Macaca fascicularis: one gene and its partner. The protein of the gene in region 1 interacts with the protein of each later gene in a biochemical or structural test. Links are inferred from orthologs where the notes say so. Each region holds a gene or a part of one and is shown on either strand. Other genes may lie near its edges.

What was found.
Region 2: the proteins of GABARAPL1 (region 1) and STK3 form a complex in vitro, tested with the Homo sapiens proteins (2 studies listed by BioGRID and IntAct). The link is inferred for Macaca fascicularis from reciprocal best matches to the Homo sapiens genes GABARAPL1 and STK3.

What each region holds. Positions count from the first base shown.
Region 1 is NC_088385.1:10,692,434-10,696,707, reverse strand, and holds the start of GABARAPL1 (gamma-aminobutyric acid receptor-associated protein-like 1), read left to right. Parts: upstream 1-1,236; 5' UTR 1,237-1,493; coding exon 1,494-1,583; intron 1,584-4,274. UniProt on the Homo sapiens protein: Ubiquitin-like modifier that increases cell-surface expression of kappa-type opioid receptor through facilitating anterograde intracellular trafficking of the receptor. Involved in formation of autophagosomal vacuoles.
Region 2 is NC_088382.1:108,435,356-108,439,633, reverse strand, and holds the start of STK3 (serine/threonine-protein kinase 3), read left to right. Parts: upstream 1-1,250; 5' UTR 1,251-1,432; coding exon 1,433-1,458; intron 1,459-4,278. UniProt on the Homo sapiens protein: Stress-activated, pro-apoptotic kinase which, following caspase-cleavage, enters the nucleus and induces chromatin condensation followed by internucleosomal DNA fragmentation.

The DNA of each region.
Region 1 (4,274 bases):
GCAGCCCGTTTTCACTCTTCTTTTTCTTTGCAATCTCCACGGTCCTCCGTGTCGCTGCCTACCGTACTGGTTGGAAGGTCTTTATTCTTTGACTCTAGGTGGGGAAAGCGAGAACGAGGCTTCGCCGCACCTGCCGCAATGCCCAATCTTCCACTGGCATTCCAGGCAGCGCTTTCCAGCCACGTGAGGGATACCTAACCACTGGAACTAAATAAGATGTGGGGGAAGAATTGAGGTCATCACCTAAATTGCTTGATACTCTCTTTTCCAGAAGACAAGCCTCCTTTCTGAGTTAATGGCAGAAAGTGAATCACTTCTTTCTTTCTTTTCTTTTTCTTTAAGACGGTGTTTCGCTCTTGTCGCCCAGGCTGTAGTGCGATGCCGCGATCTTGGCTCACCGCAACCTCCGCTTCCCGGGTTAGAGCGATTCTCCTGCCTCAGCCTCCAGAGTAGCTGGGATTACAGGCATGGGCCACCACGCCCAGCTAATTTTGTATTTTTAGTAGAGACGGGGTTTCTCCATGTTGGTCAGGCTGGTCTCGAACTCCTAACTTCAGGTGATCCCCCTGCCTCGGCCTCCCAAAGTGCTGGGATTACAGGCATGAGCCACCGCGTCCGGCTAGAAAGTGAATCATTACTGTATTTGATTGTACGTGAAGCCCTCCGTAGTCCTGACTGACATCACGTCTCCTTTGGACCTTGATTACACTCCGCGTCCTTCATCTGACTCCTCTCTTCAAATTCCTGAGTCACGCTCTGTTTATGTTGCTGTTCAGGAGCGAACTGCGGCGCGGCCCAAACACTGTGACGCCAGCGCGGGAGGAGGGCCGCGGGAGGGGCAGCGGAAAGCGCAGAGGGCACGGTGCAAGCACGAGACAGCTCTGCATTGGCCAAAGGGATCCCAGGAGGCCTGGGCCTCTTTTCCCCTGAGGCTGGATCCCAACCAGCAGGAAAAGGATTTTCGCCTTTTGTATTTGTTTTGGGGCCAAACCAAGAAAAACAGTGGAGGGGGAATAAAACATGTTTAAAATTGTTTTTGTCTTAAAACCGTCTTTCACAGTCACAAAATAAAACACAACTAGAATGTTTTGATGTTTGCAATGACATCGATTTTGAAAAACGTTAGCCAGAAAGGAAACGCAGTTAAGACAGCACTCGGCCGCCCCCTGCCCTCGGCGCCTGGGGGGCGGGGCGGGGCGCGCAGGGTGACGTCACAGCCCGACGCGCCACCCAACTGTTTTTGTGCTCGCAGCTCCAGCGAAAAGCCGCCGGTATTTCTCCACCTGGCTCTCCTCTATCTCCGGGCAGGCTCACCCGAGATTCCCCCCCACACCGAACCCCCTCTGCACGCTCGGCCCAGCGCTGTTGCCCCGGGAGCGGACGTTTCTGTAGCTATTTGAGCACACCTTGACGTCGGCGGAGGGAGCTGGACAGGGCCAGCGGCGAAGGAGGCAGGCCCCGCGCGGGGAATTTCGGAAGCCCTGCGGTGCATCATGAAGTTCCAGTACAAGGAGGACCATCCCTTTGAGTATCGGAAAAAGGAAGGAGAAAAGATCCGGAAGAAATATCCGGACAGGGTCCCCGTGAGTGTAGAGGAGCGGGGGGATGGGAGGGGAAGGGCCCGCGGGGGCGGGGGCTGGGAGTCGAGATGGCTTCCCTGGGGCGCCCAGGCGACTCTGGGGAAGGGAGGTGCCGATAATTAGTTAATCCTGAACGCCCTTCAGTGCCCGAGCCAATGGACGTCCAGACTGCGGAGCTTTTAAAACCACATATGCCTGGGGCCTGAACCCCACTTCAGGGCTGACGGTGTTTTTGGGGCCGAGCTGCCATCTTCAGTGACTCAGCAACCCACACGGTCTCAGCAATACTGAGACCCTGTGTGGGTTGAGGTGCGCAAAATAGCGCCCCTGTGTGCGAGAGTGGTTAGATCAGGGCCGTGGATTGGCTCCCTTTAAGAACGCGGGGACACTGTGCTGTGCGGTGAGGTTTGCGCAAACCCGGTCGATTTCTGCCTTGGCTGGTTCTCCTTTAATGAAGTTGACTTTGGCTGTCATATCATTGGGCTTGGGAGGAAAAGGTTCAGAAGCTATTCGGTTCTTTTCTTGCATTACAGGGGGGTAGGGGAGCACAAGACAGTCCGGGCCTGAAAAACAAGGTCACGTTCTCTGCGCAACAGCCCTCATGCCTCATCGTTCTAGGCTCCGGGAAATGTGTGGGGACAGCCAGCCTCCCCCGGTATTGATTTCTGATCACCTGGCACCTGCACGCGATAAGGCAGGACTGAGACGTTTTTTCTGTGTTTTGGACACCGGCTTAAGTAGTTAAAACTAGCGCAGGTAGTGAGTAGGAACAGAGAAGAAACATTAGGTGTCTTTCACCATCCGGGCGTTTTCCCCATTACCCCCTCCCCCGCCCCTTGCCTGGTGTTTCTCTAATGTGGGCTGCGCAGCCGAATTGGAGGGCAGAGTATGACTTTTAAGTGGTAAAGGGACCAGCAGCTGTTGGATTTTGGAAATGGAGGAGCAGAGATTTTTAAAATTGTGCTCTTTATCTTCAGGTAGGAACATCAGGATTACATGTCACATCATGGTAAAATAATTGCTGTTATCTGATGTCTTATCTTGATTCGCAGCCACTCTGGGTTTCTTCTCTAATCCTTACCTAACGTTCGTGGTTTTATAGCTACCAGAAGCCAGCAGGGCCTTAGCCCAGCAGTAGAAACCTCTTGTACCCCTTTTCCTTTAAAAAAAAAAAAAAAAAAGTCATTAGGGCTCTTCCATTCCTCAGAAATTACCAAAGGGTTTTCAGTTTATAGAGGGGTGAGCTAATCCCTTACTCGGTAAAGGATCCTTTACAAAATACTTTGCTGGTTTCTGGACCTTGGATACCTGAAAATTTTGCCGAGTTCTGGTGATACCAATCTTTAGAGCAATGATATTTAAAAAATACAGTCATATTTTACTAATAGTTTACAGTAGCAGTATAAGTACTCAGTCTGTAATCATTCGCTTAATCCTTACACGATTATAATCCCCGTTCTACAGACGGAGTATTCAAAGCACAAAGAAATGCGGTAACTTCCTAAAGGTTTCACATTGCTGATCTGTGTTTGAGCCGGAATTCTAACCCTGTCTGACGGACTGTGGAGCTCTCGGAGACCTTAACCTCCGTGCCATACTGTTTCTCAGTTTCTAATATAGTTGTTATTAACCAGAATTAATGACGTGCTGTGGACTTCACACTGTTAAGTATTGGAAATAGATAAATACTTATGTGTATTCTGAATATTTCAGTGCATTCTGTTCTTTTCATGCTCATAGTTTGGTGTTAAATGTTTTACTCCTGTGATAATTTTTAAGCCATTAAGACTGTCACTCAGATTTCAGCTTCCCTAGGGTTATGTTTTAACCAGCGCTGAGCTGCTCCCAAGGTGCTCAGTCTGTGACCTTCTTTCTAGTTATGACGCAGGTTCCTTGATTTGGTTCTAGTTCTGGGAATTCACTGCATCCTTGGGCAGAACTTTTAATCTTGCTGTGCTAGATAGAGTGCCTTGTTTACAGAAAAGAGGGTTAGAGTAGTGGTTCCTAAAGCCCATTCCAGCTTGACCATTGGTGTTATTCAAGCAGTGGCGTATCCTGACTGCTCGCATAACCAGAGTTTAGTCCCACCAATATTTCTTCAGAGCTAACAGTTGAAAAGAAGAGGTATGCTTGTGCCTTCAGAGAGGAGGGGTTGGTGGGATCTTGAAATTATCTTCAAAGACACAACATATCAAAAAGACTGCTAGAAACAGATTGTCTATTTTAAAAATTCATAGGTCTATTGAGTATTAGTCACATTTTACAAAGAGGAAAACTGAGACCCAAAGAGGCAAAGCATCTAGCCCAGGGTCTACCATAGTGAGGAGTAGAGTTGGGATTCCTGGAAATTTAACCTTGGTTCTGGGAAACCAATCCTTTAATAATTACCCCTCCCCCTTTTCTTCCTCTCCAAACCCCTGCCTTCCCTCCAGGTATTGCGGTCTGCTTTATCACTTTCTTTTTCTGTCTTCCTTTGTGGTTTTTCTCTTTTACTGCTAGGTCTCAGAGTTCCTTTGGGGCACAGTGCTAGCCTCTTTCTGCCTTTTCCTTTTAATTCCTGGCTTACATTACCCTATTTCAGTTTTTATTTTTAAATTTAAAATGTGATCATGTCCCTCTGGTCTTCCTGATTCAGGATTTTTTCTACAAGAACATAAGTTTTTGTTTTTTTAAACTAATTTTAATCTGTTCCTT
Region 2 (4,278 bases), on another chromosome or scaffold:
TATTTAGCATTATCTTCATATTTATTGTTCTAACCGCCAAGAAAATTCTTATAACTCTACATCTTGACAATTTCTTTCTTTCTTTTTCTTTTTTGAGACAAGGTCTGCTCTGTCACCCAGGCTGGAGTGCAGTGGCGCGATCCCGGATCACTGCAACCTCTGCCTCCCGGGTTCAAGTGATTCTCTTGCCTCAGCCTCCCAAGTAGCTGGGAGTACAGGCGCATCGCCACGCCCGGCTAACTTTTGTATTTTTAGTAGAGACGAGGTTTCACCATGTTGGCCAGGATGGTCTTGAACTCCTGAGCACAAGTGATGCGCCCGCCTTGGCCTCCCAAAGTGTTGGGATTACAGGCATGAGCCACCGCGCCCGGCCCATCTTGACAATTTCTGACAAAAACAGGTAAACTCATGTAGCAGCTGTATATTGTTATGTGAAAGGTATCTATACATGGAATTTAAGGTTAAAAGTATACCCACAATATGGATGCATGCAGTGGTCAAATTACAATGGGATGAGGACTACTGGGATCAGGTTAGGGGAGAGGACCAAAGAGGGAACCAAGCACACTTTTCTTGAGTATTCTTCTTGGCAGCATAATTTGTGCAGGCTTGCCAGGTTACCCAATGGGACAGCTGCAAGGACCCAGTGCAACTGAATTTGGTGCACCGAGAGATCTCACTGCATTAATTATTTTCTCGGTAATTAGATGTAATTATTGTGAAATGTAGCGAGGAGCTTGTCTACAATAAAAATCAAACAAGAATTTCCAGAAGTATCCCTAGTACTGCGGCCTACACATGCCAAATGGCTGGGGGAAAAACATAACCGATAATTATAAACAGAACTAGAGAGGGAAGCGTGGGCAGTTAGAAAGTAATACTTCAAACGGATTCACACGATGTTTGGATGTATCGTTGGGAAAGCCAAAGAAATGAGTCAAATTGGATCAGGGCAAACCGTATCGAGGGCAAGCGAGGGGCGGAGCACTGGGCCAGCTCGGAGGGACTCGCCCTTCCCCAGGCTAGAGCGGCTCCGGCCTCGCCCCCTCGCTCTAGCCGAACCTCCTCCTTTTCCCGGTCACGGGGCTCTGGGGTCAGCCCGGCCTTCGTCCCCAGCCCCGCCCACCCGCCGCGGCACCAGCCCCGCCCGCCAGCCCAGGCCGCGGCAGGCTCCGCCCCCCGCCGCGGCGCCCGGCTCCGCCCACCTTCTCTGGGCTGCTGCCGGAGGCAGGCGACTGGCGGCCGGGGGCGGGGCGGTAGGAGCAGCGCTCCGAAGCGGGAGGGAGATCCGCCGCGGAGTTACGGGAAAGTTGGTCCGAGTTCCCAGAGTTTCCCTCTGTGGTTCCTTAGGCTCGGCCAGCCGGTGCCCGGTCTCCTTTCCTCCTTTCGGCCTTCGCAGTCCACCAGGTCCCTCTCTCTGCCCCCGGCCGCCATGGAGCAGCCGCCGGCGCCTAAGAGGTAACGAATCGGGGAGCGGGAAGAAGGAGGGAAGCGGCGCCGGCGGCCGCGGGGCGGGGGTGGCTAGGCCAGGCCCTGCTGCGACCCTCTCCCTGCCCGCCGGGCCCTGAGCCGGGCGCGCCGAGGTCGGGAGGCGGGTCCGAGTGTCCCGCCGAGTCCGTCTACGGGGCGAGGGGGCCTGAGGGGAGTGGGAGCCGGAGCCTCCCCTGCGGCCGGCGGGCCTGGCGCGTGGAAAGTCGGGTGGGCAGCGCCGGGCTCCCTGCGGCCTGACCTCCCGGGGCGGGTGGGGTGATCCCTCGTAGCAAGTTCACAAAGTCTGGGAGACTTAAAACCAGGGAATTATTGGTCTTCTTACAACCACGTAGACTTTCTTGTCAAATGTTCTGCATAATACTGCCTTTTGTTTTTTTTGAGAAGGTGGTTTGCTTACGGCTTAAGGAATTAAATATTAATAGCTACACAGTCTGTAAAACATTGTGGATGTGCTGCTCTGACAGGTGTTACTCCGCCTAACCCCTCAAGTTCAAAAGTATTTATGGATTCAAGACAGTGGGAAGTTTAAATTAGAACCCCCTCCCCCAATATAGATTTGCGTGTAAAAATAGTGCTGCTTTGGTATGGTATTTACTGTTATTAATGGTTTATATTTAATCTTTGATACCTGTGTTGGAAATGTGTGCATACAAGAGTGGGATGTGTTTGAGCTAATATTTGCGATGATGTTAGGAAGCCAAATCTGGGTTGTCCATTGACAGAAGTTCATAATATGCATTCCTCTCTCCCCAAGAATGAGTTAACGAATTGTCTGATGTTGCTAAAACATTTACTCAGTCTTTCATTTTTAAGTTTTAAAATAAGGATAGTAATCTCTCAGATAGTGCTGTTGTGAAGATTAAAGAGATCGTTTGCTTTGACAGCTGGAGATCTTTAGATGAAAGGTGTGTTCAAGAACGTAGGATAATTGAAAAGGTAGGAACTTTGGGGGCTATTGTGAATTGTATGACTAGACAAGTGAACCTTGAGGCCTGGAAGCCATCTGTTCAGGTGAAAAAAGGGGGGAGTCGTGAAGGAGTTTCCAAAAGGGACCTGCTGTCAGAGCCCTTGAGTAAGTCAACTGATAGATTATTTTCTAGCATTTCGTAAGTTACCTGCATTCGACTCACTGGGCACCGTTTTAATACAATATAAGAGAATTGGGCACTTTTTTCTTTTCTGGAAGAACTGGAAGGAGCACTTCTGAGAAAACACAATAGGCCGTTGGAGCAACTGAATTGAAGTGCAGCTCTCTATTGATTAGCTGTACTGTAAGTTATCAGAGTTTCATTATAGGTGTAAGAGAATCCTTGCCCTTGTAGAGACATTAGAGAACCTGGAGGAGTCAGGGGCAGGTGTAGGCGGTAATTCTGTGGTGATTTATACTTTTCAAAGTGGTGGTTGCACATTTAACATACTTATTTTTAGCTTATTCAGAGAGTCTTATTTTGAAGTAGTGAACAAAAATGCCACAAAGGCATTTTGAAAAGGCAAAAGGTATGTGACAGCAATCCCTTATATTTGAATGTCTCAACATTTTAAGAATTTTCATATTCATAATATTTAATCCTCACAGCAACCCTATGTAGTAGGTTGGATTATAGGCATTAATCCTAATTTATAGATGAGGATGTTGAGGGAGTTTGCCACATGGAAGGCTATGACAGGAATTACTGGCAGTTTTGTCCCTATTGATTATTATCTCCTAATAATGAAATATAGCTACTCGTTTTGAGGTCATCCTGTTTGCCAGGAAATTTAAATATACATTATTTAAATCCTAAGAAATAGTAATCCTGGCACTGCTACTTATTATGCTAGTTCTAAGTTTAATTTTTCCATCTGTGGAAATGTATTGTGAGGATTAAATGAGGTGATATGTAAAGCACTTGGGACAGAGTAAGACCCTGTCTCAAAAAAAAAAACAAAAACAAAACAAAAACAACAAAAGATAATGGGGACTAATTTAATAAATATTTATGTATCACAACTGAGCTTAAGAAATAAAATTTGACCAATATATTCGAAGCCCCTATGTGTTCAACAGTGTTAGTTGTTAACTTATGTTTTCTTTATTATATGAGGCTCAAAGAGGCTAAATAACTTGATCAAGTAGAGAAGGTGCCAGAATTCTGCATCTGATTGGCTACAAAGGCTGTGCACCCTCTCATTGTATACAGTGATGGCTCTTTTCGAAACTGTCTTTCTTATTCCATGATGTAGTGGTCCTCTTTTTTCTGTAATCTCCTGGTCTCTGTTGCTTATTCTGCTCATAATGCCTATAAAAGTGCCATTTTGCTTTTCTGCCTTGAATAACACTTCCTTAGTGCTGACTTTTACATGGCCTTATCGATGTTGTTGATGTTCGGGTATGACTAGAAGCTGCTGCTCAGTTGGCATTTTTCATTTTTTAAGGTAGGTCTTACTCTTTCATTAACCCATCTAGTTTGTCACTACAGCCTATCAAATTTTCTATTGAAAAGTTGGTGGATTAATTTTTTCTCTTTTCTTTCTCAAGAGTACTACCCCATAAAACCCATTCCATGGTTTTATGACCCTCACTTTTGAATTGCAGCAGTACCTTCTAGCTGGGCACTTTAGTCCAGTGGTTTTCAAAACTATTTTGTTTTGTTTTATTTGTTTTGTTTTGAGATGGAGTGGTGCAATGTCGGCTCACTGCAACCTTCACCATCCTGGTTCAAGCGATTCTCGTCCCTTAGCCTCCTGAGTAGCTGGGATTACAGGTGGGTGCCACCATGCCCAGCTCATTTCTGTGTTTTAGTAGAG